Linked DNA regions of Yarrowia lipolytica. The protein of the gene in region 1 interacts with the protein of each later gene in a pairwise test. Links are inferred from orthologs where the notes say so. Each region holds a gene or a part of one and is shown in the gene's direction. Other genes may lie near its edges. The genes, in order: YALI1_E32445g and YALI1_D05633g.

Region 1 (3,470 bases):
GTATCTAGACCAGACCAATGTCAACAATGCTTATGTCAGCGGTATGAGAGAAGACTTGGGTTTCAAGGGTAACGACTTGGTCAATGTACAGGCCATGTACCTGGTGGGAGAGTTGTTTTCCAGCTTCCCTTCATGTTCATGCTTCCCAAAGTGCCGCTAAATATTGTCATTCCTGCCATGGATCTCTGTTGGGGTATCATGACTCTCTTGTGTTGCAAGATCCATTCTGTCGCAGCTCTCAAGGTGATTCGATTTTTTGTTGGAGTTTTCGAGTCTGGATTTGTGCCAACTGCATATTTCCTCATGGGCTCGTGGTACAAGCCATCTGAGGTCGCTCGCCGAGCAGGTTTCTTCTACATGGGCCAGTTTCTTGGTCTGCTGAGTTCGGGTCTACTGGCTAGTGCAGCCCTTGATCTAGATGGAGTTGGAGGATTTGAGGGGTGGAGATGGGTGTTCATCGTGGACGCCATTGCAACTCTTCCACTGGCTGTCATTGGCTTCTTTGTCATTCCAGGAACCCCAGACAAATGTGTTTCGCTGTTTTTGACGGACGATGAAATCCGAAGATGTCGACTAAGAATGAAACCATATGCTACCGAAACTACCGCGGTGGAGAAGAAGAAGTTCTTCTCTTGGGAGCTCTGGAAACCTCTCCTCACTACCTGGCGCATGCCACTACTGGTACTGGTGGCCTGCATATTCTTCAACAACAATAGTGGAACATCTGGTTCTTTCATCCTCTGGCTGAAAAGTCTTACGGACTCGGAAGGAAACCAGAGATACACAAACCAGAAGATTAACCAGTTGTCGTCTGTGGCACCAGGTCTTGGTTTTGTGTACGTCTACTCGGCATCTCTTTTTGCAGACATGTTCAAATGTCGATGGGGAGCCATTGCCATCACCCAGACCCTCAACTTCATAGGCTGCGTGATTCTGGCAGTATGGGACGTGTCGGAAGCTGCAAAGTGGTTTGCCTTCTGTCTACAATACACGTCCTGGTCCATGAGTCCATCCTACTTCGGCTGGGTTAGTGACATTATGAGACACGATCCACAGGCATATGCCATTGTGATTGTGGCCATGAATATGATGGGCCAGTCCACCCAGGCATGGGTGTCTGTTCTGGTTTTCCCCACTGAGGAATCACCTCGATTTACCAAGGGTTTCGCAACTTGTGCTGCCTGTGCCTTCGGTTGCGTTGTTGGAGGTATTGCGGTTCTTTATTTCTACAAGCGAGATGAGAAGCGAATCTGCCACAAGAACGGCATCATTCTAGTTGGCTCCGCCGTGGAGTGTATCGAAGCCGAGAAGGACAACACCACCGACAGGAAGGAGAGTATCAAGGGAGACGACATCAAGGTGGACGATATCAGAGTCTCTGCCTCGTCCGAAAGTGTCAACTATCAGTAATGTATGTTTTGAGTATCTGTTTGAATCTACAATAGTGTGTAACGTAAGTGGTCTCACTGTACACATCTGATCAGCTTTTTTAGCACTTCTCGTATCCGTGTCTTTCTACAGTTGCTCCCACATGCATTTGTTTTTGGGTGTCCGTGCTCTGCTGTTGGTGTGCACGCACCTCAACTCTAAAAGCATTTCTTTTCGGAGAGCCTATTTTTATTCGACTGTGAAACTGTGAGGTGTGTTCCTGGATAAATCCTACACTTGGCCCCCCTAACAAAAGCCATGTTCCGACCAACCCGACTACCCCGAATCCAGCTTCTGAAGCCACTCTTCTCTAGGCGCTTTCTCAGCTACACAATCGCCGAGGCCTACAGCGCGAAGCCCCGGCCACCTCACCAGCAGTCCAAACCTCCGGCTGGAGAAAACAGACCGCCTACCGGAGAAGATGCATTTTTCCATGTTTCGCTGAGCAAGACGGACTCGCCCGATTCATACACATACAGCAACACGGCGTTTGGCGTCACCGACGGCGTGGGCGGCTGGGCAGAAATGGGAGTCAATTCCTCCGATTTCAGCTACTACCTATGCCACGAGAGCTCCAATCTGGCTGTGGAGAAGGCTAAGGAGATCGAGAAGGAGCCTGCATTCGCTGAAAAGCCCCTAGCCTCACTCATTTCCCCCAAACAGCTGCTCACCAACGCCTACAACAAGATTGTCCGGGAAAAGACCGTCAAGGCAGGAGGAAGCACAGCATGCATTGGGGTCGCTGGTCAGGACGGCCAGGTGGCTGTTGCCAACCTCGGAGACTCCGGATTCATGGTTTTCCGTAACGGCAAGCTTGCTGGAGGCTCGAAAGCGCAGACTCATGCCTTCAACACCCCTTACCAGCTGGCTATCATCCCTGATGAACTCAAGCGAAGTGATGAACGACAGGGTCTGCGTCACATTGAGGACACTCCCGCAATGGCCGATCAGTTCTCTTTCACTGCCGAGCCTGGGGATGTCATTGTGCTTGCTACTGACGGTCTCACCGACAACATGAGCGCTCAGGACACCCTCAAGATTGTCAACGAAACCATGCTGGAGCACGGATCGTGGATCAAGGACGACAAGGAGGGCATCAAGTCCAGCGGTGAACACAAGGGTGCCATGGATCTAGCGCGGCGAATCGTGCTAAAGGCCAAGTCGCTAAGCACCAATAAGCAGCATCTTTCTCCGTTTGCCAAGGAGGTGCAGCAGGTGATGAAAGTGCACTACATGGGAGGCAAGCCCGACGATATCACAGTGCTTGTTGTTATTGTCAATGAATAAAAAGACTCTGCCTAAATCAGTCAGGCGGACATTCACATTGCATACGGTATACATAGCTGCAAAAATACATAATTTGGGCATTGGATTATTCAAATGTGTCTATGGTTGTCTACAACTTGGCCTTTTCGTAAGTGGGATAGTCAATGTATCCAACTGGACCGGAGGAGTAGAAAGTCTTTCGATTGTAAGGATTGAGCTTCTCGTCCTTCTCCAGTCGTTCAACGAGATCGGGAGTACTGATGAAGAATCGGCCGAACGCAACCAGAGTAAGGGGGTCAGAAGCCGCAGCCTCGAGAGCAGTTTCTCGAGTGAAACCTCCAGCTCGAACAAGAGGACCCTTCCAGATCTTTCGGAAAGGCTCGTTGGTCTGCCACGCAATATCCTCCCGCTTGGTCTTGGTGCCATTGACTCGGGGCTCAATGAGATGCACGTAGGCTAGCTTCTGGCCATTGTCTGCTCGCTTTTGGAGCTGACGGAAGATGTATTCAAAAGTGGGGAGCGTGTTGACCTGATCAACCTCGACGTCCTGAACGTCGGTCCAGGGGGACAGTCGGATCGCCAGTTTGTCTGAACCGATGGAGGCAGAAATGGCGTCCACGATCTCCAGAGAAAACCGACATCGGTTTTCTATACTTCCTCCGTACTCGTCTGTTCGGTGATTAGAATTCCAGTGAATGAACTGATCGGGCAGATAACCGTTTGCCGAGTGGATTTCAACTCCGTCAGCACCGGCCTTGATTGCATTCTCAGCAGCG
Region 2 (4,851 bases), on another chromosome or scaffold:
GACATGGTGCACCACCTGCGGCCGGACCTCAAGCCCGCGGTGATTACTAGACTTAGATTCAAGACTGTGAGGCCCAAGGAGCGACGAGTGCGGCCTCACTTCCGGTAGAAAAGTTTGTGAAGGGGTTGTGAAGGGGCTGTGGAGGATTTATGTATTTAACAGTGACTCAACTCACCATCTACTGTATCTTTAAGCTTATCGCTGCCTGATTATGTACATACATACCGGTTGGTGTATATCGTTGGGACTTACAGTACATAGTATTATACAATAGCATGCATTGTATCGTATCGTGGTCGGAGATAGCGCCATGCCATTGCTGTAGTTCGAATAACGCAATGATTTGTTCTTACATGAATGAAGAGAGTAACAGCAGTCCAATTGACAAGGCTCTTTCATCAGGCAGATAGTGCGGCCATCTACTCCTACTGGGCAAAGTTTGGATACTACTCCTTGAGCAACAACTCTATGAGCTCATCCATTGCACGTGTAGCTAAGTTTGGCCGCTCAATGGCAGCACCAGTAATTATCCGGCTCGCTTGTCGTGTCTGAGGCTTGTTACCTGTGCTTGTGTTGCTGCGGCCGGGTCTCTTTGCAGCTCTCAGGCTGCGGCCTGCTGTTCTAGAAAGATAGTCTCAGAGCGAGCTGTAGACGGAACATCCGTGCGTGTCTATAGTTAGTGTACAATCCGTTTAAGACACGTTTCGGAGCTCGTGATGTAATTCACCGGAGGCTTGGCTACTTTTTTTGGGTACATCTGCTAACGTTAACCATGTCTCGGATAAGAGCCATGTGATGAGCTGAAGTGATTGGGCGTTGCACAACTCTCCTTAGACATTGTAGCGTGATATGGTAGTGTTAATTACAAGAATGGACACCAGATACACCAGACGCTACAGCACACTGTCGGCATACACAGATCACACAGTACGGGAGCCGAGATGTTTGGGTCTTGGAGCCGCCTCACCACCTCTAATGTCAGCCGCCTGGTACTTTGTAGCCGCACAGAAAACTACGGTACATACTGTACTTGAACTAGTCGTTGTAATGTCTGGCAGCCGTTTTGCAGGTCTGGATTGCTGGATTGCTGTGGCCCAAAGCCAGAAAAGGGTCCACGTCAGGCCCCTCAAGGTTTCTCGGACCAAACAAACAACAAAAGGCTGTCTTCTTCCGGACTGCAGTTAGTAAGCACACGGGAGATCGGAGCTGAGGCCTCGGACAACCGTCATTGTTTGAGAGTGGAATGTAATGTGTCTGAATGGGGGAGAAGGGAACGCCGAACAAAGGTCTTCGTTCAGGATACGTGTCATCCCCGCAGCGCCAAATGTAACCCTTGATGGAGAAGGAGTGTGTGGTGAGCTAAAAGCCGCACTATTTTTTTCTTCTTCTCTCGCAAAGGGCGTATATAGACTTCTGCTCTCTTGTCAGATTGTCAACGTTGTTGTGCCAGATTAAAAAAAAATTCCACAATCACACGTTGTTGGGAGTTTCGAATTGCATAAAACCACATTACAACGTTTTTACGATTCTTTCCTCCAAAAGTCTGCATTGCTTTCTTCGAGGTCCACGATACACAATTGATTGAGACGCAAAATGACTGTTACCGAGCAAGTGAGTGTGTTTATGTCTGTCGGGCGGTGGCAGCAACGGGTTGCACGGAGGGAGATACCACGACCGCCACCACTGTCAAGGTCGCAACCAAGGGCTTTTTTTCAGGGGACGCCAGCAAACAGCTGAGCAACGACATGCTGAGAGCACGACAACGGCACCAAACCAGCACATTAGGGGCTGGGGACAATAGCGAAACGAGAGCTCAATATCCAGTTTCGGTGTTGTGTTCTTTCCTTCTGGAGGTTGTTGTACCTGCCTTCATGGGGAGTTCCCGCCCTAACACGCGCTTATGGGGCTGTGTTTACGCGTCATGCACCTTATGACATACGTGGAAGCAACAGCCGTACTGGCCTGGCGGGTGCGGGCGAATTCGGACAGCTGGAGGTGCAATGGTCATGCCAGTGGCAACCCCAGTGTCGGGATATGCTATGCTCATATCCAATCATTGATTCATCGCTAACTCAGGAATTTCTGTGAGTAGTCCCAACTGGACTGAGACATTTATGATGGGGATTTGGGAGAGACAAAAAGTGGCACAACAAGAATGACACAAAATGGGGCTTAAAAACGACAACCCACGACAATGCGGCGTTTACATTCGACAACTTATTTGAGGACTTGTTTTTTTGGGAGACTCATTTCACACCACTCTACTTGACACGACTCCATTCCTTTCGACACACAGCTCCCAAAAGTTAGTTTCCCACGCCATCTGTCGGATTTATTTTGCCTTTCGGATTTAGCGCGCGACTCGGACATAACATGGGCGGGCGATTGAGCGATTGAGCTTCTGAAAAAGCCGCCTTATCGCGTTGAAATCGTGTTGCCCCCTTTCTGCGAATGGTCCCAGTCGCCCAGGTCGCGTTTTGTGTCATCCAAAATTATTCCCTTTGTTCTCAACCGTGATTGACCTGCATGCCCAGCCGCTTTCGGTGATGTCAAAAAAAAGTGATAGGAGACACAATAACTGTGGACTCGCGAATAGATTACTAACTCAGCGCATCGTATCCCCAGAAGGTCGCCCCTGGTGGACCTACCGGCTACCCCGGTAACCTGACAGCCGAGCAGGAGCAGAAGCTCGGTGAGCTTAAGATGATCCTGCTGACCAAGGGTTACGAAGATCGAACCGATGACGCCACGTTGCTGCGGTTCCTGCGAGCCCGAAAGTTCGATGTGCCTCTGGCCCAAGAAATGTGGGAGAACTGCGAAAAGTGGAGAAAGGAGTTCGGCACCAACACAATTCTGGAGGACTTTTGGTACAAGGAGAAGAAGGAGGTGGCCAAGCTGTACCCCCAGTACTACCACAAGACCGACAAGGACGGCCGACCCGTCTACGTCGAGAACGTGGGTAAGGTGAACATCCACGAAATGTACAAGATCACCACCCAGGAGCGAATGCTTCGAAACCTCGTGTGGGAGTACGAGTCGTTTGTTCGACACCGACTGCCCGCCTGTTCTCGAGTTGTTGGACATCTCATTGAGACCTCATGCACCATTCTTGATCTCAAGGGAGTTTCTCTGTCGTCGGCCTCCCAGGTCTACGGCTTCCTCAAGGATGCCTCCAACATTGGCCAGAACTACTACCCCGAGCGAATGGGTAAGTTCTACCTGATTAACGCGCCGTTTGGTTTCTCCACCGTCTTCTCCGTCATCAAGCGATTCCTGGACCCCGTCACCGTGTCCAAGATCCACGTGTACGGCTCCAACTACAAGGAGAAGCTCCTGGCCCAGGTCCCCGCCTACAACCTACCCATCAAGTTTGGCGGCCAGTCCTCCTCCAAGATCGGTGTTGAACTCTCTGACGACGGCCCCTGGAGAGATCCCCAGTTTGTCGGCCCCGAGGGCTTGGCCCCCGTGGCTGGTGAGCGACCCACCGGTGCCCCCTCCATCGTCTCCAACTCCTCCACCTACGCCAAGTCCACTGCTTCCACCAAGGTCGGTGCTGACGACAAGGCCACTGACGCAAAGGCCAACGGTAACGGAGCTGCTGCTGCCGCTGCCGGAGCTGGAACTGCTGCTGCTGGCGGTGCTGCTGCTGCTGCTGGAGCTTCTTCTTCCAAGCAGGCTGCTCCTGCCCAGGCTGCTCCTGCCCAGGCCGCCAAGGCTCCCGTTCCCGCTGCTGCCAAGACCGCCACTGCCCCTGCCCCCACCGGCAAGACTGCTGCACCTCAGACCAACTCGTTCCCTCCCGAAATGCTTGCCATGATGGAGCAGAATGAAAAGAAGGCTGAGAAGGCCGCCGAGGCCAAGACCAAGGGAGGGGCTGCTCCCCAGGCCAATGCCTTCACCGACGAGCAGCTCGCACAGCTCAACTCGCTGCCCCAGCAGGTGGCCACAGGAGGAGTGTCCCAGCCCCTTCCTGATTCGCATGTTACCCAGGGAGTCCCCACGGTCGCCAAGATTGCCGAGGCTGCCGCCGGTCCCCATGAGGATGCCCATCTTCCCCATTAAGACAAAAAAACACACGTAATTGGAGTACTTTTATTGACCTGAAATTAGAAAATCGCGTTAGGTGGAGCTTGTAGATGATTCGGTAACATGTAGCTGCAACTAGTCGATAGCAACGAGAGGTACAGTACATACGGTAGAAGTATGTGAATCGTGATTTGATGTGTTCCCGCTCGCGCTAAAGGGAGAGTATTCGTCAGTTGTGTGTACAAACATGGAGTTACTACTGTACACTGTACACTCGATACTGATCTTACTTGAACTGTAACTCCTTGTAGTAGTTCGTGTTTCACGGGTGATTAAAAAACACTGCGAGTGTTTTCTTGTGGTCAGGCTTAACATGATCGAGAGCCACAACCAGATTTTCCAGTCATCGTAGCGCAGTATGCGACTTCGGGTGCTATTCACAGTCTTTCGGATATGCGAACTCGTTCGGCTCTCTCCAATGACTTCTCCAGTAATTGTTGAAGTAATATCCAACAAAAATCCCAACGAACACCACGTGAGCGTAAGCACCAAAACGGAACTATCTTAGGAAATTAATACTACACGGGGTAGATGTTCGTGAATATCTGCTAAGAACTAGAGCCTTTAATATCTAGTTATCAAGTTCTCATATCTCTGGAATACTCGGAACACTGAAATAAGTACCTCTCGCAGAACTCTTGCTTCCACTATTCCTCAACAAACCAATGATTGAAAGACTAAGAGCAATACATATGTTCGTTCGATAGTTGCCGACCGCCGTTATTAGTGCCTGAAGAGTCTCTCTGCTCGCACTTGCTACATCGA

What was found.
Region 2: the proteins of YALI1_E32445g (region 1) and YALI1_D05633g interact in binary tests that used the Saccharomyces cerevisiae proteins (3 or more experiments, as listed by UniProt). The link is inferred for Yarrowia lipolytica from reciprocal best matches to the Saccharomyces cerevisiae genes PTC7 and SEC14.

The regions. Positions count from the first base shown.
Region 1 is NC_090774.1:3,242,784-3,246,253, reverse strand, and holds YALI1_E32445g (uncharacterized protein), read left to right. Parts: upstream 1-1,686; coding exon 1,687-2,715; downstream 2,716-3,470. Other genes in the region: YALI1_E32461g (uncharacterized protein), read left to right, coding at 1-103, 124-1,410; YALI1_E32423g (uncharacterized protein), read right to left, coding at 2,825-3,470. UniProt on the Saccharomyces cerevisiae protein: Protein phosphatase which positively regulates biosynthesis of the ubiquinone, coenzyme Q. Dephosphorylates and activates the ubiquinone biosynthesis protein CAT5/COQ7. Also dephosphorylates CIT1 on 'Ser-462', which leads to its activation.
Region 2 is NC_090773.1:561,120-565,970, reverse strand, and holds YALI1_D05633g (uncharacterized protein), read left to right. Parts: upstream 1-1,593; coding exon 1,594-1,611; intron 1,612-2,076; coding exon 2,077-2,084; intron 2,085-2,609; coding exon 2,610-4,062; downstream 4,063-4,851. Other genes in the region: YALI1_D05692g (uncharacterized protein), read left to right, coding at 1-108. UniProt on the Saccharomyces cerevisiae protein: Required for transport of secretory proteins from the Golgi complex. Catalyzes the transfer of phosphatidylinositol (PI) and phosphatidylcholine (PC) between membranes in vitro. Essential for viability and secretion.